7 linked regions of the Solanum lycopersicum genome follow. The protein of the gene in region 6 binds, or shares a complex with, the protein of the main gene of each other region. Links are inferred from orthologs where the notes say so. Each region holds a gene or a part of one and is shown on either strand. Other genes may lie near its edges.

What was found.
Region 1: 50S ribosomal protein L6, chloroplastic (region 6) and large ribosomal subunit protein uL4c share a complex: the UniProt entries of both Arabidopsis thaliana proteins name them as parts of the 50S ribosomal subunit. The link is inferred for Solanum lycopersicum from reciprocal best matches to the Arabidopsis thaliana genes emb2394 and RPL4.
Region 2: 50S ribosomal protein L6, chloroplastic (region 6) and large ribosomal subunit protein bL34c share a complex: the UniProt entries of both Arabidopsis thaliana proteins name them as parts of the 50S ribosomal subunit. The link is inferred for Solanum lycopersicum from reciprocal best matches to the Arabidopsis thaliana genes emb2394 and AT1G29070.
Region 3: 50S ribosomal protein L6, chloroplastic (region 6) and large ribosomal subunit protein uL5c share a complex: the UniProt entries of both Arabidopsis thaliana proteins name them as parts of the 50S ribosomal subunit. The link is inferred for Solanum lycopersicum from reciprocal best matches to the Arabidopsis thaliana genes emb2394 and AT4G01310.
Region 4: 50S ribosomal protein L6, chloroplastic (region 6) and large ribosomal subunit protein bL31c share a complex: the UniProt entries of both Arabidopsis thaliana proteins name them as parts of the 50S ribosomal subunit. The link is inferred for Solanum lycopersicum from reciprocal best matches to the Arabidopsis thaliana genes emb2394 and emb2184.
Region 5: 50S ribosomal protein L6, chloroplastic (region 6) and large ribosomal subunit protein uL24c share a complex: the UniProt entries of both Arabidopsis thaliana proteins name them as parts of the 50S ribosomal subunit. The link is inferred for Solanum lycopersicum from reciprocal best matches to the Arabidopsis thaliana genes emb2394 and RPL24.
Region 7: 50S ribosomal protein L6, chloroplastic (region 6) and large ribosomal subunit protein cL38 share a complex: the UniProt entries of both Arabidopsis thaliana proteins name them as parts of the 50S ribosomal subunit. The link is inferred for Solanum lycopersicum from reciprocal best matches to the Arabidopsis thaliana genes emb2394 and PSRP6.

Annotation. Positions count from the first base shown.
Region 1 is NC_090806.1:67,227,888-67,231,266, reverse strand, and holds large ribosomal subunit protein uL4c, read right to left. Parts: upstream 2,121-3,379; 5' UTR 1,630-2,120; coding exon 801-1,629; intron 728-800; coding exon 690-727; 3' UTR 501-689; downstream 1-500. UniProt on the Arabidopsis thaliana protein: This protein binds directly and specifically to 23S rRNA. May play a role in plastid transcriptional regulation.
Region 2 is NC_090800.1:53,256,371-53,259,524, reverse strand, and holds large ribosomal subunit protein bL34c, read right to left. Parts: upstream 1,744-3,154; 5' UTR 1,617-1,743; coding exon 1,403-1,616; intron 878-1,402; coding exon 621-877; 3' UTR 501-620; downstream 1-500. UniProt on the Arabidopsis thaliana protein: This protein binds directly to 23S ribosomal RNA.
Region 3 is NC_090808.1:1,642,860-1,646,187, reverse strand, and holds large ribosomal subunit protein uL5c, read right to left. Parts: upstream 2,096-3,328; 5' UTR 1,927-2,095; coding exon 1,675-1,926; intron 1,247-1,674; coding exon 701-1,246; 3' UTR 501-700; downstream 1-500. UniProt on the Arabidopsis thaliana protein: Binds 5S rRNA, forms part of the central protuberance of the 50S subunit.
Region 4 is NC_090803.1:66,609,294-66,611,943, forward strand, and holds large ribosomal subunit protein bL31c, read left to right. Parts: upstream 1-1,360; 5' UTR 1,361-1,510; coding exon 1,511-1,579; intron 1,580-1,663; coding exon 1,664-1,984; 3' UTR 1,985-2,150; downstream 2,151-2,650. Other genes in the region: mannan endo-1,4-beta-mannosidase 7-like, read left to right, coding at 1-216. UniProt on the Arabidopsis thaliana protein: Binds the 23S rRNA.
Region 5 is NC_090806.1:68,736,301-68,740,514, reverse strand, and holds large ribosomal subunit protein uL24c, read right to left. Parts: upstream 2,801-4,214; 5' UTR 2,671-2,800; coding exon 2,578-2,670; intron 1,170-2,577; coding exon 1,131-1,169; intron 821-1,130; coding exon 590-820; intron 407-589; coding exon 200-406; 3' UTR 59-199; downstream 1-58. Other genes in the region: calcium/calmodulin-regulated receptor-like kinase, read right to left, coding at 3,775-4,110. UniProt on the Arabidopsis thaliana protein: One of two assembly initiator proteins, it binds directly to the 5'-end of the 23S rRNA, where it nucleates assembly of the 50S subunit. Required for optimal plastid performance in terms of photosynthesis and growth.
Region 6 is NC_090811.1:69,209,051-69,213,315, reverse strand, and holds the start of 50S ribosomal protein L6, chloroplastic, read right to left. Parts: upstream 2,801-4,265; 5' UTR 2,755-2,800; coding exon 2,717-2,754; intron 1,711-2,716; coding exon 1,402-1,710; intron 1-1,401. UniProt on the Arabidopsis thaliana protein: This protein binds directly to 23S ribosomal RNA and is located at the aminoacyl-tRNA binding site of the peptidyltransferase center.
Region 7 is NC_090803.1:63,903,610-63,905,845, forward strand, and holds large ribosomal subunit protein cL38, read right to left. Parts: upstream 837-2,236; coding exon 501-836; downstream 1-500.

The sequences.
Region 1 (3,379 bases), on a different chromosome or scaffold from region 6:
CAATTAGCGCTTAAACTCAAAAGTTCTAGTAAAAGCCTAGAGATACTCATATACTCTCCATCACATATTTTGATAGTACAAATGTCCAAGTTATCTGCCTCCATAGATAGTCTACTAGATATGGTCTGTTTCAAGGTTAATAATGCTTAGCATCCCATATGCCCCCAATGACTCAAAACAAAGTAAAGAGCATTTTTTCCTGCCAATTACTTTGTGTTTGTATTAAAGAAAAAGGTGATGAAGCTTTTTCCACCCAAATAAAGGTTTCCTTTTCTTAACTTTGCTTAATTGCTTCAAGCCTAAGACTCAAACACAAAGCTTTCCTAATCATTTTACTTTGCTGAATCTCGCCTGGCTGACAACTTGTAACCCATAAATCTTATATAAAGCTTCATCTACTAAGCAATTAATGTAGTTTTGCCAGAACACAAGACTTAATTAGTAAAGTAACTAATCACTCTTATCATAAAAATCAAGAACTCAAAGTGGTAATGAGAGCGGAACGAAAATCAAGAGTAAACTATTCCAACGAAGGTAATGGACAAATGCAGTCAGTGACATGAAATCAACCAAAATCACCTAGTTTTATCATACAATAAAATACAATTCAAAGTGAAATATACTAAGCTCCCTGTAAGGTAAAGCCTCCTCTAAAATGGAACAGACCCTTTTCGCCCCATGTTCATATATTACTCAGAACTTTCAGCACTCTCCTCCACCTCGCCACCTGAATGCAGCAAATTAACGAGTTAGCTAAAATTGAAAGGAAACTTCATACCCAAAATGAAGCAAAAACTAACCATCTTCTTCTTCCTCGTCCACCACCTCCCAGTCATCATCATCATCATCATCATTTCCGTATCGTTCATTCAAGAACTCCACAGCTGATTTAGTGAAAACCAGCTTCTCAGAATCCAATATGTCGAAAAGATTCAAAGTTCTGGGTGTCAACATCTTCAATGTGCTAATGTTTCTGCTGGAGAGAATCACATTGTCTGAAACTTCCGTCATCAAAAACAAAGATTTCTCTTTTGGGTCCAATCCCCATCTTCTCATCAAATCAATGAACTCCTTAGTCTTCGGTTTCTCAAACTTATCATCAAACTCTTCCACAACAATGGCATTCTGTGTAGCACTCGAAAGCGCAGTAGAAATCGCGAGTCTCTTTTCCTTTTTGTTAATCTTAACTGACCAATCCTTAGGTTTCGGCCCAAACACAACCCCACCACCTGGTCGTAAAGGAGTTCGGTTCGACCCACGTCGAGCTCGACCCGTTTTCTTTTGTGGGTATGGTTTGATACCACCACCCCGTACTTGGGCTCGGGTAAGGGTGGAAGCAGTACCGCGACGTTGGTTGCGCAGGTCAGTGGTAAGCCCACGATGAACGACGGCGCGTGCGGTATCAAGAGGGGCGGATTTTAAGTTGAGAGTGGTGGAGCCCACTTCGGTACCATCAAAGGACAGAATTGGAATAGTGGCGGCGGCGGCCTCTGAACGGATGGAGAATTGTTGTTGTTTGGGTTTGAAAATGAGTTGTTTCTGCTGCTGCTGCTTTGAGGAGTGAAGGGTGTTGGAGTTAGAGAAGAAAATGGTGGAAGAAAAGAAAGATAAAGAAGAAGAAGTAGCCATTTTTGCAGTGAAGGAGCAAACTGCAAGCCTATGGATTGGGTTATCCACAAATGAGGAAGAAGGATATCAAAATGTATTCATATTCTTTGTTCAAATAAATTTAGTGAAAATGGAAAAGTCATATATACCCTCAAAGTATTTGAAATTGAGCACATATTTGATAAATTTAGGGACATATTTGCGGAAACATGCGCTCCCTGCGGGTAATAACAAGAGAGTGAATCCTCCAAACTCAAAGAGTGATTGAGTCCGTCTCAAGCGAGTGAGTGAAAGGCGTGGCAAGAGAGCGAGTTCGACTTGCGAACGATCAGCAAGTGAAGGACCGATCCTTTTGCGCCAATGAACTCTTCAACTTTACGACGTAACAGACTCTCTAGCTTTACGAGATAGTGATAAGGTCTACAAATATTCTATTCTTTCTATGCTTATCGTTGTCAGAGTATATTTGATAATTTTTTCACTTATGAATCAACAAATGAGGTTAATCAAATGTTTCATTTAGACTAATAACACATTCAAAATGATAAGGTCATATATAAGCCAAACTATTGACGAAGAGTTGAAGGGCATGTCTATTTAATTTACAATACTTTAAGAACATAATTAAATCTTCTTTTGTGTAGGAAAAAAAATAAATTTTTTAGAGCGTAAGCGACAAATAAAATTTTTATGAAATGTGCTCTTTATTTTTATTAATTTTGATATAATATAAAAGTTATACAATTTTCTTGATCAAGTCTTTTGTTAGTTGGGGCTACACCATCATAAGCCCAAAACCTTCATTTTCTTTTATTTTGAGGCGCTATTGATGCAGCCTGCTACATATTGCCTTCCCTTTCCAATTTTTCCATGATACGCTAAGCCCAACTCGTATGTTGAATTCGGTTAAGAAAACAAACCTTGAATCTAATCTAACTGTAACATCGTAGCTAGCTCAAGAGGAAATAATTGTTCAAGATTATTTATGCTTATCAATCAATTTAAGACTCAACGCTCCTTTGCACGTTCATGGTCAGATATCATGAATGTAAGCAATATAAAATGGAGACCTAATATTAAATGATAATGAAGTGAGATGGACGTAACTTCAATACCATATTAGATTTAACTCAATTCAAAAGATAAATCGAGGAGATATGATTGTTCAAGAGTATATAAAGAAATCAATTTCTCCTCGTTCCACTTATGTTGAAACTTAACAAACTCAATTAAATTTTGAACTAATAATTTCAAATGTACCATAAAAATAGGTTCTGCAGCTTACATCCTAAAATTAGGTAAGCTATGCTTATTCCACATTGAATTAAAAGCAACAGAAAGTTCATAGGTCTTTAGTAAAAAGAATTTATACTAATATGGGATTTACAATTGCCATGAAAAACGTCTTAATCAATACTCCTATCTCAATGACTATCTATAAGTACTCCTTCATCCTTAATTAGAGATTTCAGATTTGAATCTTTCAAAGTACAAAGTCACCTTTACGAGGAAACAATGAATCCCTCAGTACTAATGTGAATCCAGATTAGTTGAGCTCCAATATGAATATCAGACATCAGGCGCATAAAGCATAGATTCACAAGATTCTTCCCAAGAAAACTCCCTACATGCACCAACAAAGTTAGTGAAATCTTCAACTCCATTTTGATCATAGTAACAATCCTTGAACCAAATATTCATATCATCATCATCACTAGGAGTTGAAGAATCCATGTCTGAATCAATCCAACAATATTCAAGTTCACCAAGA
Region 2 (3,154 bases), on a different chromosome or scaffold from region 6:
GACAGGTCGGTTTCTGGTTCGGTTGGGGCACATTTCTAAATTGTATTTCAACTTACACATGCCAACAGCCGGATGATCCTGCAGCATACTAGTAAAATCCTCAGTTACGAAGCAAAATTTAGTAACACAAATGCAATTCTGAAATTTCCAAATAACTGCAGTTACAATCCAAGCTCACCCAACATGTGAAGAATGATTTGTGAGAACAATATAGCACCCTTACATAAGGGCCTTGTTCGATCGATGTCCATAAAACACCTCAACATGTCAGTCTCATATTCCCCTCTTTGGTGGAGCAACTTTCTTATAATACTTTCTCCAATGACAAATGGAAAACAAAAGAAAACATTAGACCTCTGAAAAAGCCCTATGATGAATCAGACAAATGAAAACCTGCTGAGTCTACAAATTTCTCAGGGTCGATTTGTTGACCAGACTCATGAACAAGATCAGAAGGAGAAAGCAAAAACCAATCAATGAAAGAGTGGACAATACAAAAATATGGAAACTAGTAAATTAGTTCTTTAAATAAAACAGATGAAAATTACAGCAGCCCAAAATTCTGAAAAAGATAGTTAACATATTACCAACAAAAATCAGTTGCAAGAAAACAATAAACATTAAGCTCGTTTTCCAGTTCTAGGTGAAGACTTTGGGCAGAGATCCCATCGGCCTTTTGCACGTCTTCGCTGGATAGTTGCTCTGCCACTGGTGGTGCTCATACGCTTGCGAAAACCATGTGTTCGAGCCAACGACTTCCTCGACCTATTCCTCTTAGTCTGACAAAGAGCATACTTCTTTGCCTGCACCACCAGGCCACGCCTTTTAGTGGTGCTCACTCCAATGTTGGAATTGAAGCCAATGCCAAATGATGAACCTACACCACATATTAAACCATTAGCTCGCTACTATTCATCATGCCAATTTAATATGAAATTGATCATATGTCTTTTGGACCTTAAAGGTCTCCTCTTTGTTGAAACTTTTTTGGTTCAATTGTTTTATAATCTAGCTTTAACCAATGGATTTTGACTATAAAATCAGAAATACGATTCACTTTTTTTCAATAGCACAGCAATGTCAGACCACAAATAGACACTACAAATTTGTGTTATATGGAATACTAAACATCAGAATGAAGAATTGCAACCTACTCTTGTCTCCCCCTTGTACCTTCAAAGAGTGTATATAATTTAACAGGACTCAAGATACACACAAGCGAATAATTGCCTATTAAGGAGTTCTCAAAAGAAGCAATTCAAATGAAAATACTACCTGCCTAAAACAGGAATCAATAAACAACCCCACATTACCAATTCAAATAACAACTGAAATCTCTAATTCACATTTTCAATTTCCACATCAAAATTGAAAAGGAAGATAGAGAATTTATGGAACTTACCAGAAAAGGATGTTGAAGAAGATAATGTAGAGAGTGCAGAGGAAGGAAGAAAAGAGCAGTGAAGCAACCCAGAATGAGTAGAGGCATTAGCAGCCATTTTCAAAGAAACAGAAGTAGTCGTTGTTGAAGAACCAGTACGTAGAGAAAGCGAAGCGGATGGTCTGTGGTTTCCTATTCCTGAACATACCCAACTTCCCATTGACAAAGAAGCCATTTTTTCTCTCTTTCAAAACTCTCCCTCTTACTCTTCTGTCTATCTATAAGAGGTTTTGATGCCTTATCTGCAATCCAAGGGACTCTTTAGGTAATCCGAAAAGATAAACGGGTTAAAGATGGATTTAGAGAGGGTTTGACACAGTAAAACACTTTTATTTAAAGTGGAAAGGGTAAAAATATTTTTCAATTTTATTTATTGATTTACTATGTCTTTTACCTTAAAAGGAAATTATTTTTACTCTTGTCGTTACTAATTTTCATCATTTATGCCCCTCAATTGGATGAAAATTCCAAATTTACTAAAATTATCCAATTTCATCATTTTGACCCAAATTCAAGAGCCTTTTGGGGAAAGAGATCCCAAGAGTGTAGATCTTTCATACCTTAGGATTACTTAGTGTTTGATGGATAAAATTTGAAGTATTTAAGTCCTACTCAAGCTTTGAATTGTTCTTCAATGGGGTCTTGCAATAGAGAGAGAAAGAAGAGAGAAGTTGGAGAGGATTTGAGTTTGGGAATTGTGGGGTGTTAGGTTAGTTTAATGAGGCTTAGGTATTATATAGTCCTTCAACTAACTTAATTAACCACCCCCTAACCCTTAATTAATTAACTAACTAACTAACTGATCAAATCCCCAACTTAAAAACTTGACAGCAAAACAAACCCAGTCGACGACTCCTCGACCTATGCCTTGTAGTCCCATCAACGGCCCCGTGCTGCTGGTCGTTGTTTGGGACAGAGACTTGATTTTTGGAGCATCCAGGCCAATTGAATAAGTGTCAACCTATGAGGCCATCTACGGAGCGTCGATCAAACGACGACTCCTCGCTTGGCTCGTGGTTGTACACTGTCAATTGACAACTTTTGGGTCCAAATGGAAGGGTCCTCCTCAAGGACCCCTAGGGTGGCCCTTGGGGAGTCGTACCTGTACATTTCAACCCTAAATACTCTCTTCTATATATGTAACGCCTTTTTACCAACTTTCATTAAATTACGACTCTTAAACCTCTATGCAACATGCCAAGGCACACGAGTGCATATTTCACAATCATCGAACGTCATGGTCATTTCTTGACATTTGACTCTAACACTTCCTAAATACTTTAAATATAGTATTTCAGGTAAATAAACAGTTTTTGAAGTGTTGGTTCATTATATGAATCTCTAGATTAGGTCATGGACTTTCGAAGTGTTACATTATCCCCCTTTAGGAACATTCGTCCCCGAATGACAGTAAAAATCTTTTGTAGGGGAAATTAGGAGACTCAATACTAGCAGCCCAACCAGAAACATATAAACAACATGAGTTAAAAATTAAAGGTGTAATTCACAAGTCCATTCAACACACAAACATGGAATTTGACAAATAGGAATAACCGAACCACGTCTACAAAATGCCAGTACCATGCAGCTGCTTCAAAGCCAACGTGATGCTCCTTGGTCATCTATAGCAACTCAAATCACAATTTACCACATATAAGAGCTCAACATCACAACATGAGGAACTACCTTCTCAATATTAATATGAGCTCAACA
Region 3 (3,328 bases), on a different chromosome or scaffold from region 6:
CCAAATCAAATGACATAGAACCTGAAACCACTAAAAAGCACATTCATACACACTTTGAAAGAAAAAACTCTGTACAATTTGAGCAGAATAAAATGAAGCCAAGGGAATAAAGATTCAGCAACATGGTATATACTATAAATAACTGTGACTTTCTAATATGCGAATATAAATAAACCTTAGAGGAAGAAAGGAGAAAGGTGGGGGATCAGGGAGTAGAAATAAGTATGGGACTCCACAGCCTCACACACATCAAGTGTTAAGCATTAGGACAAATTTAGAAAACGTAAATAAGATATCGCCCGCAAATACTCCTTATCACATACGATAAAAGATAAAAGCAGAGATGTTAACTCACCTAAATGTGAATATGGTGGAGCTAACAAGAGAAACTCTTTGCCTGAAATCAAAGTAAATGGCAGACGAGAAAAGGGAGCGGGTAGGAAATATTTAATAACATACAAATTACAGTAATCAAGATTCATGAATAGTAAAAACTTAACTAGAGATAAAAACAATTCTTATTTTTTTTTTTTTAGAGGAAGAAAACGTAAATAACATATATTCGAGACATCACCAGCCAGATGGTAAAAGTGCAATTACAGATTTTTCTATTCAAATTGTACGCCAAAAACAACTGATAAACCACAAAACAGTTAAAAAACAACAAATCAACTCATTATCCCTGGAGATTGGATCCACCTCATCTCCTAGACCTTTGCTTCGCCTTCGAGTCAAAATGGTGAGCTCTAAGCTTTTTCTTTTTCGTAAAAGTTGTCTGTCCACCAGAACCTTCTCTAAATGGCATACCCATGAGAGCCAACAATCTGTGTGCCTCTTTATCTGTCTCAGCTGTTGTTGTTATGCAAACATCCATCCCTCTTGGCTTACCAAGAGCATCATAACTTAACTCTGGGAAGACACTCTGTTCACGAAAGCCAATGCTATAATTTCCATGACCATCAAAGCTATTGGGGTTTACGCCTTGAAAGTCCCTCGTTCGAGGAAGCCCCAAATTAATTAACCGGTCAAGGAACGAATACATTACATTCCCTCGAAGTGTAACAGCAATTCCAAGCGGTTGACCTTCTCTAATTTTGAAAGTAGCAATAGCATTCTTAGCCCTAGTCTTCACAGGCCTTTGCCCTGTAATTAAGGCCAAATCATTCATTGCTGCATCCAAACCCTTGGAATTTTGTGCAGCATCTCCTATACCACAATTTACCACAATCTTTTCGACCTTCGGAACCTAAAACACGGTTTTTCCACATTCCGTATCAAATCAAATTAAAACTAAAAAATAATAATAGAGTTTGAAGCAATAGGTCAATGCAACTAATATTCACTGTGATTTCTCACTCCTCAAATGATAATAGTGTCAAACAAACTAATTTCTCAGCATTTCAACTCTAAAATTCAACATTTAATCAAACAAACAAGAAACAGTTCAAATTTGTAGATATAAGTTGTAAAATTTGAAGCTAAAGAAGTACATATGCTTTGAAATTGAAATTAACTTGAAAAGTATAATTGAAAATTGAATTTGTGTTTGAACCTGCACTAAGCTTTTTTAAAAACTGAAAAATTTGTTCAATTCCCCCATTTTCCCTTTCCCAAGCCCTAATTTTTATCTGTTCTGGAAAAAAAATGCAATGGACAAACGACTCCTAAGTTTACCTGAAGAATATTGGTGTAACTGAATTCTTCCTTCAACAACGGCACAATCTTTTCGAGGTAATTTGTTTTCAGACGATTAACTTTTTCAGCTTCACTTTTATCCACTAGTACTGTTGCTGAAGCTTTCACCGTCAATTTATTGGACGACCGGACCTTGGTATTTCCGACCGGCAATCGAACGGAGTACGCCGGAAACTCAGCATTGTAGAAAGAGGAGGCCGTGGAGTGTAGAAGAAGAGGAGAAGCCGCCATTTTCTCTGAGCTTTTTCTCTCTGTGTGTGAAAAATAAAAGGGTAATTGGATAAGATGTTCTTTGTGGATATAACAGAGTTCTCTCTACTAAATTTTAATTTGTGAATGTTTAAGTAAAAAAAATTCGGATCCATTTCGCCATAGATTTTTCAAGTAAAATTTTTTACGTGAACATCAAAATAATGATGTAATATTCAGTAAATAAGAAAATGACGATATGATTATTGATAAAAGTGACGAACAATATGTTTCGTCTACTTCATAATGTATGCAATGATGCTTGTTGCACTATCTCTGAATTACCATATTGCTTCAGTGACATGGACACTAATTGTTACGATAGTGAATCTTTTTATTCTATTTTGTTATGCAATACAAACTTATAGTTAGTTTTGATAACTTTTAAAACTTATTAGTATACATTTCTTAAAAAAAGTGAAATATGTTTCCAAAAATTAAGCCAAACATATGATGAAATTTATGGTTAAATGTTAGCTTAAGTTTTGGGCTAAAAATTATTGAATGAAGATCGTATCAAATCAGGAAAATTGTATATAATAGCAAACTGTTAATTTAAATTAAATGTTATAAATATACTTTGATTTAATTGTACCCTATAGCAAACTATTGCTATTTCCGCCACTCTCCCTGGTGGAATCTCGCTCGCCACTCTCGTTTTGTGACAGTCTCACTCACCTCTCTCGTTTTTTATACAAACACAATTGTATAAAATGTGTTTGCGTTTGTATAAAGTGAGAGAAAATTGTATAGATACATATAGTTTTGTTCACCTATCTCAAATCTCACTCACCACTCTCCCGAATCTCCCTCGCCTCTCTCGCTTATTCAAACAGAAACGAAATGTATAAATTGCATTTCTGTTTGTATAAAGCGAGAGAAAATTGTATATACACATGTAAATACATATATCTTCGTCCTATACACTTGTAATTATACAAAACAAATATTCTCCTGCTCAGTTTTCTTTTGTCTTTCTCTTTTTCTCGTTTTATACATACACAAATGGCAGATTATACAATTTATCTTTTGTATACAACTGCTTTCTTTTGTATATGTATAGTGAATTATACAACTGCTTTCTTTGTATATGTATATAGGGAATTATGCATATTTATATTTGTCACCGAGCGCAAGTATACAAACTTTGCTATATCATACAAATATAAATTTTGTATTTGTTATATATGAAATTTACTATATCAAATTTTATTGGCCCAACAAAAATTTTTACCAAGAAAATATTGGGGTCTATTAGACTGGAATGAGGTAGGCCCAAGTCTAAATTGGTTTGTGGGCTGGATAATTTTTTGAAAATTTAACGTCGTAGTGGCCCATTTCATTAAATAAACCTAATCTTTATTATTTAGCCAGTTTCTTCACT
Region 4 (2,650 bases), on a different chromosome or scaffold from region 6:
AAAGGCGGCGGCGCGGCGGCAGGAGGGTTGTTTTGGCATGTTTTGGCTGAAGGAATGGATTCATTTAAAGATGGATATGAGATTATATTGAGTGAAAGTTCATCTGTTTCTGATATTATTATTCAGCAATCTAAAAGGCTTAATAAGATTAGAAAAATGTATGCAAGGTTGAAGAATATAGAGAAGTGGAAGAAAGCAAGGAAATTAAAGGATTAATCATGAGAATTAGAGAGATTTAATTTATGTTAGAGATGAATTAATTTAAGTTAGCAAGAAGTTAGATAATGTTTTTTTTTTTTTTTTTTTGGTAATGTACTGCTCGACATGTTGTATGTCAGAGGAAGTATTCTAGTAGTGATTTATTATGCCTTAAAAAAAACATCGATTGTATCGATGTATCTAGTGTAATTTCATATGATTTTATTTTATGAAATTGAAGAGTTTATTTTTGATAAATTAAGATATTTCAAAGCATATTAAAAAAGAAATATAATAGTAAAGAAATTATTTTTTTTTAAAAAAAAAGATTAATGAATCAATACAACGTGTGGGATAACAAAAATTGAAAGTAGGACAAGATAAATAACTTGGATTTGCTTATGGCGGTAAGCACAACATCACTTCTGTTTATTCAAACACTTTATTCTTATCAAAGATTATAATCGAACTAAGTTATTATCAATCATGCCTGGTTGAATTAATCTTTCAATAATATGTAAAAAAAAAAACAAAAAACTATTTGGTAAACTCTAGATACAAAGGAAAAAGGAGGATATTTGATTTATAAATTGGCCAATTTGTGTTACACGTCTCGGAGAGGAGAGACCGATAGTATTAAATTCAATGGTCAAGAAGTCGTAATTGACACTCTATACATGGTGGGTGATATGAGTATAAATATAAATAATCTACAGATAATATTTTATTAGCATTATTTCTCCAGATGGTTAAGACTTGGAACTTTTAAGTTAGAGGTCTTAAGTTCAAAATCACTTGCCAGCGAAAGTAAATTCTGGGTTGAGCTCATCGCACCGAATTTGCCTAATGCAGATTATTTCTCCTATGTGATTTGCGAACTAACGTATAGGAGCGGGAGTTTTACCATGTGCCCACCCAAAAACAGCGATTACTTAAAAATAAAATAATAAAAATACTTTTGAGATTAGTCAAACCTTTTTTCTACTAGGGTAAATGATATTTTTACAACAAACAAGTTTTTCTTAAAAAAATATGCAATACTTATGCAAGAAATCAAATTAGTAATAACGAATCAATAACTAATCCCAAACAACCCTAACGAGTTTAATCCATTTTTGAAAGAGTATTTACATAAATGGGCCTTACCTACTCCTTGGGCTTCAAGTAATAGCCCAAAAGTAACATCATACAAAACTAGCCCAAGTAGAGCCCAATCAAATATACAGCCCAATATCCTCAGATAAGCAATCTAATCTTCAACCCGTTCCTCTTTTTCTCCATCTCTCATTCTTCTTCTGCAAAAATACCAACAATGGCGCTCACTCTCTCCAACACTTTCCTTCAAAAAAATGTCGCTCCTCCTTCATTCTCCTCCAAGAAGGTAACTCCCCAAAATCTCCATACCCATAACTTTTTTTTTTTTTTTTTAAAAAGTATATGATTGTTGAAAAATTGAATTTTGCAGATGGGAATTGGGAGCAATCAAATGCGATGGAGCTGCAGGAAGAAGGATATACATCCGCAATTCTACGATGACGCTAAGGTATATTGTAATGGAGAGCATGTGATGACAACTGGGGGAACAAAGAATGAGTACACAGTTGATGTTTGGTCAGGTAATCATCCTTTTTATCAAGGTAGTCGTTCACAGCTACTTCTTGATGCTGACCAGGTAGAGAAATTCAGGAAGAAGTTTAGTGGGTTAACACAGATTATGCAAATTCCAACTCTCAAAGGAGAGATTGTGCTTCCTCCTAAGAAGAAGAAACCTACTAAGAAGAAGTAGACTTTATTGTGTGTTTGTAATTCCCTTAGTTCGTTTCGTAAATGGGGAAATTGTTGGAGAATTAGGGGTTTTGTGTATTTTGTGTTTGTATTTTGATGGTTTCAGTTGTGAACTCAGTCTATTATTTGAAAATGGAAGTATAAAAATTCAGTCTTTGTTCTTCAAATTTTTGGATTTGCTGTTGTTGTTATATGGTTCATCAATTAGTTGGGCTGGTAGAGCATTTAAGTTGAATCCAGTGAATTGTCTTGCTTTCGATTGCCATTATTGCTTCGACTATTGGAATGTAATGAGCCTAATAGAGCTGAATGGATACAAAAAAATTGTGTTAACTTAAAACAGTTTGGATCAGGTGTAGTTCATTGATCATAGTTTACGTTCAATAGTTTCAAATGAGTTGTCTTTCACCCCTTTACCTGATAAACTGAACGAAACTTGTCCGTTTTGCACTATCTTGGTGTAATGTTATACCTGTGATTGGAAAGGCTGATTGTTTCAGGGTTTCAGCCGTCCCTTGAATCCTTGACAAAGTAAAGATGAAATAAAGTCTGTTATAGATTTGGTGTCTTGTCTTTTGTATGGTTGCATTAGCCAAGCGTTCTAATGTTAGTTGTACTGGTGCTGTGGTGCACTTCCATTCTTGCAGTTTACTGTGTAAAATGCTTT
Region 5 (4,214 bases), on a different chromosome or scaffold from region 6:
ATTGTATTCGACCCATTAACCATCAAACTCTAGTACGTAATAGTACTGGCAAACAGAATTTTTGAGTAAATGTACTTTAATATAAAATCTTATGTTACTGAGTTAAAAAGGTGAAGGTGACAACAGAATCATAATATATCAATGAGAGAAGATTCAAAATTAGCAAAATCGAACTAGAATTTACAGACCAGTGGATCTCCTAGGAAGCAGCAGCTACTGCTTCTGTTGTTTTCCCCTTCTCTTTGACTGCTTTCTTCCAGTTCTCTGCACTATCGATGATTTCCCCAGTTTTAATGAGGTACCGGACTCTTTTTCCATTGTCTAAAGTTTTGTGACCAACCCGACTGGCTACCTTCTGCTCTTTTGAATAAAGCATCACGTTTGAGCTGTGAATAGGAGCTTCAATCTGAAACAATAACAACAACTACGTCTCAATCCAAACAACTTGGGGAAGTTCAATCTAAAATCTTAACACAAAGTTTTACTTTCTTGTTAGGGCAAAGATGAATTCGATGCTAGCCACGACGAAATGAAATCTCAAGATAACAATTTTTAGGCAAGATAGAGAAGAAAGAAATCGAGATAAAACCTTGACTATCTGGCCTGGTTCCTCCTCACTCCGACTCTTCACATGCTTGGTTTTCAAGTTCACCTCTTTTACTACTATTTTGCTGTTGTGCTTGATGATCTCGGTAATCTCTCCAATTTTACCTTTGTCATGGCCGGAGATTACCTTTACAGTATCACCCAGCCTTACATGCATTTTGTGTAGTACTGGAAGGCTGTTTGGCTTACATTCTTTACGCTCCCATCGCTTAAGCTGCAAAATAGACATAAAAAGAAGCTCTTATTCAATGATAAAGCTAATTCTAATCACAATTCTCATTAACTGTTGTTTCAGCTAAAAGAATATCATACCCATAAAAATTAGTACCAAAGGTTTAGCAATACAAACATTTGGTGGCCATTTTTAAAAGCTGTTGACAAGTTAGTTCGAGCACTTCCTTCATTACATCATAAGTTATAAAAGAAATGCATGACCACATTAACAGCAACCCTATAAAAGTAGTTGCCGGAAATGTCTATCTCGGACAATATACTAAAGGACCAAAATGGATCAAGATACCAACCTTTGCTGTAATCAAACATGGACCTTCTGCTGATTTAACCTGCACGGCATTATATGGAGATTGTCATTAAAGTGGCAAAAGATTATCCAGTTTTACAGTTGACACAATAAAAAGTGACAAACTGCGTAAGGCGTGATATACATCCAAAAAGTGTTAACCGAATAACAAGCAAGTGCATTTTCTGGAGACAGATCTTATTCCATATTTGCTTCCAATAACTTCTGATTATACAGGTAACTATAATATGAGAACGATTTATTATCGAGGAACACAGAGGCATATGTATAATATGGGTTCAGCAGCACCCAGTAGCTTTAACTCAGACCCTATATATGTATTAAAAAATTGATAAATATGTCCAAATATTAAAATTTCGAACCTTAAGTCAAATACAGGGTTCATCCTATGTTAGAACTTGGAAGACATCAATCACAACAGAGGGGGTAAGTTTAAGTTAACCAATTAGCATATTCTTAATATACTTGACTTTTTGAAGAACTTTTGAGGAACTACTGTATCAAATTGTAGATGTCTTTATATATAAAATTATTCTCTTGCAGCTAGAAATACACTGTGTTTGGTATGTAGTTCCAACTTTCCTGTGTTACGAAAATATTTTCTTTAGGAAAACAAGTTCAAGTTCAAAATAAAGAAAATGACTTCCGTAGTGGAAGTAAGAAAAACAAGATGGATAAGTAGCATTTCAAGTTATCATCACCCAATCCCTCCAACTCCCACTTCTTGACCATATCACGTCCGTCCATCCCCGAATCCCCACTCCCCATCCCATCTCGCCTCCATAGTATTTTGTTGGATATATAACATATAAATGCTCTTGGAATAATATTATCTAGCTTAGTTACCATATAAACACTAGAAAATTAGTAAGTTCCACATTTGTTTTCTAGGTAAACATTTTCCTTCGTACCAAACACGCAGTCAAAACTTATAATAGCGAAAAAACATATGATATGAGAAAGGACTCAGGTAGCAATGGTGACCAAGCAGAGAAAAAGTTCACAATATATTGTAATCAAATAATATAAAATTAATTTATAATCAATAGTACAATGGAAATGGATACCTTTGTTCCTATGATCCCTAATACATAGAAATCAAATTATTCAAACAAAGACCTTTCACAAAGACAATTGAAATTGAGATAAACAGATAGGATATAGCCTAGTGGTCAATGCAGTGGTGAACAACTACGATTTATTGGTTCAAATCACAATACACTAGTTTATTTCTTCGCATTTATGTAAGACTGGATGGAGAAAGTTACTTGCAACACAATTCAATTCTGGCTAGAGGTAGCAGGTATTCTACGTAATTAGTCGAGTTGTGAGCAAGCTGGACCGAATGATACAGTTGTAGAAACAAAACAATTAACATTTGAGATAGTTCAGTTTGAAAACCAGATAGTTGAAGTTATGAGAAAGCATACCAGAGGAAGGGAGAGAGGAGGAGAGAAGCGTTGGCCGAAGAAGGAGGTGGAGGAGATGGAGAGACCAGTAAAGGAGCTCTGCAGAGCCGCCATTGTTCAAAACCTTCTGCAAAATCCTTTTGTTGAAGGAAGAAACAACACTGAGCTGAGTATTTGGATAGGATAATAAAAACCAGAACCTTCGTCTTCTTCTCTCTCTATCCCTGGACACCCGATCCAACTTAATTGGACCTTCAACGGGTCGAGTACGGCCCAATTATAAAGTCCCTTTTCAGCTATTTCGGGATTGTGGATTAATTACGAAAATCTCACCTTTTAGTTTAATTATTATCATTATCCCTTATAAGTTTTACAAATTTCTAAAATTTCACAATTTTCATGCATCACATCAATTTCTATCGCGAATCATATTATTGTATCCCGCGCATCAGATTAGTGTATCATGTATAAAAATGTATCTCGCACATTAGATTAATGTATCTCGAGCATCATATAGTGTATCATGTATAAAATGTACCTCGCGCACCAGATTAGTATATCTCGCGCATCAGATTAGTGTATCATGTACCTCGCGCATCAGATTAGTGTATCATGTATAAAATGTACCTCGCGCATCAGATTAGTGTATCATATATAAAATGTACCTCACGCATCAGATTAGTGTATCTCATACATTAAATTATTGCATCTCGCGCATTAGATTAATGTATCAACGCTTGTATTATTGTATCCGTTTTGAAGATTTTTTGTAATTATAAATTTGTAAAGTATCAATTTGCCCTAATTTAAGAAGGGAAAAATGATCAAGTTTTAATGTTTTATAGGTTGACAAAACATATAAAAGACGAATTGAACAAATAAATATATTGAAAAAAAGTATCGGGGGATTAAAAAATAAAAAAAGCTTGGTTCTTTTTTAATAAAATTAGATTGAATAGGATACTAATGTAGAAGAAGTGGAAAAGCCTGATCTGGGATTTTCCCCGTTTTCTACCATTCATTAACCTTCCACGCAAATTTACAAAAACTTAGAACAAAATTGGGAACAAAGGCTATCATACACTCAGACTATAACATACCCCTAAGTATCCCAAACGAACTCACCAAGACAAAAGTGTGTTTTTGTAAATAAGAAACCTAACAACCTGACCAATTTTACAAGATGAAACAAAAAAATAAACAAATGGAAGAACTGAGTTAAACTTCATACGAGTCAGCTGTGCTATCTATAGATTCAACACGTCGATGTCCAGAGATTGGATTCCGATGATCTACTTGTTCAACATTGATGGTAATCTCCTCTGCTGTTGCAGATAAAGATCGCTTCTGGCGTTTTCTTTCGTGTCTAGACTTGAGTATCCTTGACAGAACCTGCACAGTGTCCCTCATGGAAGGCCGTTTCTTGGCAGCACGATTCACACATTTGTATGCAAGTGCTGCTACATCATTAAGTTCTTGCAGATCATACTTCCCATCAAGACGGGAATCTGCGATTTCCTCCCATCCGCCTTTTCCATCTGTAGTCATGGCTGCCTACAATCATCAATCCTATGGAGCTTAGTTTCTATATGACTGAATAGGCTTCAGAAACATATGCACAATAAAAGAGGTTGTAGGGGAAGAGGGGGGGGGGGGGG
Region 6 (4,265 bases):
TGTGAGTATGTCTCAAAAGGAAGTTTCCCTTGTTTTTATCTGATTAGTTATGATCTTCCCTAAGTTAAAGTAGTCGTTAACTAGCCGTTGGAGAGTATAAGGAGTTTTAATATGAAAGAACCAATTGAAGTGCGTGTCTAAACTCAAAAACATAGATTTTTTAATTATTTCTACTTTCTCTTCCTTCTTTTAAAGTTGGGGTTTTCCTCTTCAAATCTGTTGTTTACATTGAAAACTTTAACCGTATCCATTTTTTTCCATTTTCCCCTTGACCAAAGTGTAGTATATGCACTTGTGGCTTTTGAGACTTGCAAATGGCTTATTAGCATCCAGATATTATAGATCTTTCTCACCACCCCCTAATTGTGATACCTTTTAGCCTAGAAACACTACGACTAGCACTGATATATGTCCTTTGCTAGAAGTCCTAGCTGTTCTTACGTCTATATTCCCTCTTCTGCCTAATTTATCACTTCTCATGACCTTAGAATCATTAATTCTGTCATGGAACTAAGGATCTGCTACATTTGAACTTTGTTGCCAGTCAATCTTCTCATAGTGAGAAAGATCATTTCTTTAACATGTCAAGACTGAGAACTATGTACTGCTTTTATGTTGCTCGGACAAAAGATCGTTTCTTTAACATGTCAAGACTGAGAACTATGTACTGCTTTTATGTTGCTCGGACTCTTCAAAATGCTGCCGAGTGCAGGTCAGACCCTCCAAAAGTAGTGAACTTTTGAGGATCCAACACAAATGCAATAACATTTTTGGTGATTCCCGAGCAACATACTTCTTTTGCTACTTACAGTGACTAATGTCCACGTTTTCTTCCATATTTTCGAGTCCCCTCATAGCAAAAGAAGCATTCGATTATATCAATTTATTAGGTAACCATTGGCAAGAGGCTACAGCAAGTAATATATATCAATAGTTAAGATCAAATAAGTAAAGTTTAGAACCACAAAGAGGTTCACTATTTTTGAAACTTAGAAGTACTAAAAAGAACAGAAAACTTCAAGGTGGTAAGAAATGACTGCCCTTCTTTACCTTATTAAGAGGAAAAAATTATCCTTTCCTCTTCATTAACAACTAGGATAAAATCAATTAGGACTAGGACTGGGAAACATCTCAATTTGGTTATAAAATATGATATCATATAATTGGAGAAGATCAATTAGACCCTTTAAATCTTAAATTTTATGTCAGAAGAACTAAGTCATCACTAGTCCACATCAAAACCAGTCGTGAATTTCAAAGTAATTACTCCAGTAAGTAGATTATAGCTTCTTGATCATACGTAGTAGTAATAGGTAAATTATAACTTAGAATGTTTACCATATCTAAGAATAAAACCGAGAAAAGAAGTCGAGAAAACAGCACAATTAAACTGCAGACTACCTGAATAAACCATGCATCTGATTAGCGCGTCTTGTCTCCATGGCTTTTCTGACCCTTAGAATACCTCCATCTTCCTTCTCAAGCTTTACTTCTCGTGGATAAGTTATGGCCATCTCCCCCAGAGGTCCCTTAACTTTCAAATCTTGGCCTTCCATTGTGAGTGTCACATTTGAAGGTACTGATATTGGTTGCTTCCCGATTCTTGATTCTTTACATTCGACCGTCTTACTCACAAAACCAACACGGCGAACAGCAACACTCGATACATGAAACCCATTCAAACTCCCAACAAAAGGAGACCGCAAAGTGCTGACATGAAATAAAACAAGAATAACAGATATGTTTTACAAGAAAGCCAACACCAATAACAGCCACACTCAAGATATGAATCCCATTCAAACCTCTCAACAAATGGAGACCTTAAATAGATAAAACAAGATCAAAGTTTTTATTTTTACAAGAAAACATGCTAAGCCCCGACACCCTCTATACTGGCTAAAGCTTTATTCTTCAAATAAGGATACCCCAGAATCTGAAAGACACAAAATTGCATAAATTTGACACAAACTGACCAATAAACTACAAATGTGCAAAATACCCAATTTCAACAATTCAAGAATCAAAATGAAAAAGTAAAACTCAACAAGCTAAATGCACCTAATATGTATAGAAACAGTGAGTGAGAAGGGTAGCAGAATAATTAAGTTCTTACCCAGAACACACAAAAGCTACAAACTTTATTGTATAATAAGGAAACCCACAAGCTCAAAGACACAAAATTGCATAATTGAGCAAGAAACTATAAATGCACAATACCAATTTCAACAATTCAAGAATCAACATGAAAGTGTAAAAATCAACAAGCTATATGCACCTAATATGTGAAGGGGAGCAGAACAATTAAGTTCCTTACCCTCAATACACAAAAGCTACAAACTTTATTGTATAATGAGGAGACCCCAGAAGCTAAAAGACACAAAATTGCATAAATTGAGCAAGAAATTACAAATGCACAATACCCAATTTCAACAATTTAAGAATCAACATGAAAGTGTAAAAATCAACAAGCTAAATGCACCCAGTATGAAAAAGGGAGCAGAACAATTAAGTTCCTTACCCACAACACACAAAAGCTATAATTTTTATCGTATAATAAGGAAACCCCAGAAGCTAAAAAGACACAAAATTGCATAAAATTGACAATGAAACAACAAATGTGCAAATACCCAATTTCATTAATTCTAGAATCGACATGAAAATGTAAAAAGCAACAAGCTTCATAGTGTTAACAACAGATTCAAGAAGCTAAATTTACCTGGCATGTAAAGAAGCTGTGAGTGAAGAGCTACTCATTTTTGAATTTTGCCTGCAAGCTACAAGACTGAGTCTCTTAAGAGCTGAACTATCTTGTATAGTGGATAGAGCCCTTTTTGCCTTGCACATTAAAGAGTATTGACAATTTCACCCCTTATCCTATTTCAACTAAATAACAATTTCCCCCTCTATGTTACAAAGTTTCTCTTTTGCCCCCTCTTGATATCGGTAAATTCTTTGATACACATATGATTCGAGTTAAAGTTACTGAATCTAAATGAAGTCATAAGATGTATGTTAGATCGGGATGTAGATTTTTATCTATTTCGTATTACGTAAATTAATCATAGAGTCTCAAAATAAGAGTCAAATTAGTATTCGTGTTCACAAGAAAAGAATATCATATATTTATATAAAAGAGAATCTCTGCCCGCCTACATGGCAGCACCACAAGAAAGAATTGCCTTTTAAATTTAATTATTTCCAAAATTAGCCTTCATCTTGCTTGAAAACATGTGACTTTTATGAAAATTACAGTTGCGACTTTAACGAAGAATTGCGAATTTTATTAAAACAGTTGTAACTTTTTAGAAAAATTGTGACTTTAATGAAAAGTTGTGACTTTTATCAAAAGTTTTGATTTTAATGAAGAGTTGTTACTTTTATCAAAAGTGTGACTTTTATGAAAAGTTGCAACTTTAATGAAAAGTGGTGACCTTTCCGAAGGGTTGCAACTATTTCAAATAGTTGTAACCTTTCCGATAAGGCACAATAAGAATTTGTTCACGCTAACCTTTATTGTCTATAAATACAAAAATTTCCTCTCATTTTAAAACAACAAAAATTCTGATACTCTTCTACATCCGTAAAATTAAATATTTTTGTACTTTGCTCATTTTGAGTGACTTATTAACACCCCCATTATTTTATCAATAAGTTGGTGAATAGAATCATTTCATCCTGAGAGGATGTAGTTCTTTAAAACCTCTTATATTGGAGGGGAATAGATTTTTTAATGGGACATTGTGCATTCAATTGACTCGATTTTTTCCTTTATATTTAATGGTATTTATACATATCCTGGTATGTTTTTTTACGCTCATTAATTTATACTCATGTTATTAATTGTTGTTTTTGAGTACATATTTTAAACATTATTTTTATGTTTATGTTAACTTATTTTCTCCGGTTATATTGAACATATACACATATTGTATGTATATTTATTATCAAAAAAAATTATTGTATTTAGTTCCGAAAATTCATATTTTGATATTCTATATTAAATTTTAGAAGTACTATATATAAGCTTACCTAATATCTTCTTCTTTATTGTCTTTCAATATTGATTAATGAACCAATGATTTATTATATCGTGAATAATTCATTAATTGGAGGTTTTTGAGTTATCTAATAATGACAAATAAAATTAAATTTATGTTGCAGTATTGCTAATAATTTTTTAAGAACTTATTCTTCTATGATTTTAATGTATGGATATTAGTATAAAAATATTTGCAAGTTAAATGCATTTATTTTTTATGACCGCG
Region 7 (2,236 bases), on a different chromosome or scaffold from region 6:
TCTGGAGGGCAAATAATTGGGTTTCATACTTTGTAAATATGCCATTTACAGTAGGAACATAAAATGTACATTGTTGGCTCGTCTAATCTACTGGATAGTTTGGTTTTGATCGGAATGGTTGTTGCGACATAGTTCAAAGGATTCCGATGTTGAATGAGCGAGTATATTGCCTTAATGCAAATACAAACATAGCTACTGTTTTCTCATTCATTGTTTTTAGTACGAGACCCCTCTCCCCGATCACATTTGATATTTGCTTTACATAATATATAATTTTGCTATTTTATTATACGGAACCGATATTCGAAGGATATTGTTTATTATCTCACAAGCTACGGCATTATCCAGTGGCATTGAATAGATTAAAAAGTAAAGCGTAAAACATTCATTTCAAATCACTTATTGCGCCAAAACTGCAATTGAACAAGTTGCAAATTTCCCCAAAGTATCAGACGGAAAACACCATTATACAAAAGCCGAAATGATAAGTTACAGAAAAATTACTCAGATTTGGCGTCGGACTCTGAAGCTCCGGCGGCAGCGGGTTGACCCGATTCATCACTGGCAAAGGACCACTCCGATGGTAAGGGAGGTAACGGAGCATAAACAGCTGGTCCACGTCGAATATCCCAAGCTTGAGTCTTCCGTGGACGTGTCTTCTTATGGTGAGCTGTAGCCTTCTTCTGTGGCCTAGATGAGCACTCAATTACCAATCCCCCGATACTTGTGGGTGCCGACGCCAACCTGGTGGCTCCGCCGGTGAATCCGGTCGCTGAAACAGTTGAGGAACGCGGCAACACCGCCATCTGCAACCCGAATATGGCGGAGGCTGACATTTTCTTTTTTCTTCTCTTCAAAGGTTTTTCCTTCTTCTGGCTGTGTTTAATGGAACCTTTGAAGTGGATTGCCTTCGTTATCTTCTGGTGACTTCAGTTTCTGCTAAGGTTACGACACCGTTTGGCATTTGGGCCTTAAAGCCCTTTTGGGTTATTTGAGTGTTGGATGTAGTAGAACAACAATTGGTCTGGCCCAAATAAATCTGTGGGATCATTTACACTTTTGCTTCTATTTAGTGTTGGTCTTTAATTTATGTATAGTTTATATTTTTGTATAATAATAACTTACCATTTATGTTCATATATTAAGTCTGAAAACTAAACGTAACTTCACAATCGATAGGAGCGATGGACGGTGTGTATAAAGGGCAGAGACGGAGAAATTCTTAGTTAGAGACCCAAAGGTCATTGTGATTAAAGAATAGTTTATGAAATTTTAGTACATAAGTGAATATAATTTAGAGTCAAAAGTACACGGCCTAATTGAGTTCAAATGAGTAATAATCTTATAAGATCATGGGACACAATTCCTCAACTTGTGTCTGTATGTTTGGTAATGTTTTCAACTAGTCATAATTATTTTAATCTTTCTCTGATATTATATGATTTAATATAAAAGTTATTGTATAATATATGGAGCATAGTAGTTGTATTTTGGACATAACTATGAGAAGTGAATGTTGACTATTAGTAGGTTACATGTTTAGAGGAAATGACTTTACTTCTAAAAGGTTAAATTGTTCCTTCAATTGGTGTCAAATCGTTTCATTTTCCTTCCTTTTTCGATGATATTGAAGTAAACTTCACTTGAATGGATACTTTTATTTTTTCATTACCATAATAACACTTTTTTGTTATTAGTTGCTTATTTAGGCACAACTTGAGTTCACGTGTACCTATTACTCTTTCCTTGCTATAATATATATGTGTAAAATCACCCCACTCCAGAAGGATTAATAGTGTTTTTTATCCATCAAACGTGAACTCAATCACTTGATGTTGAAGGCGACTCAATCAATTATTACATGACAATCAAACACCGTGAAAAAGATACTTGAAAATAAGTAGGTCATACAAAATACACCTGAGTATGATTCTTACACATAAAAGAACAAACATATACGTCTCTTTGCATCTACTGTTAGCCTTGTGAGTAATATTATAGGCCAGTCTATCCCATTTGTAGTCCGTGACCTTTATTGTTCCCCCACTTATATGAATCATCAAGATTAATGGATTGACCAACTTCATCTGCACTAATCAGCCCAAAACATCCTATAGCCGAGTAAAAATGAGTTGGTTACCTCTAGCATTTTGGCAATTAGTGCTTTGTTTTATTGGAAAAAGAGTTAAATTGCATATTTTTATAACTCTGGTGTCCGATCCAGTATCATGTACCC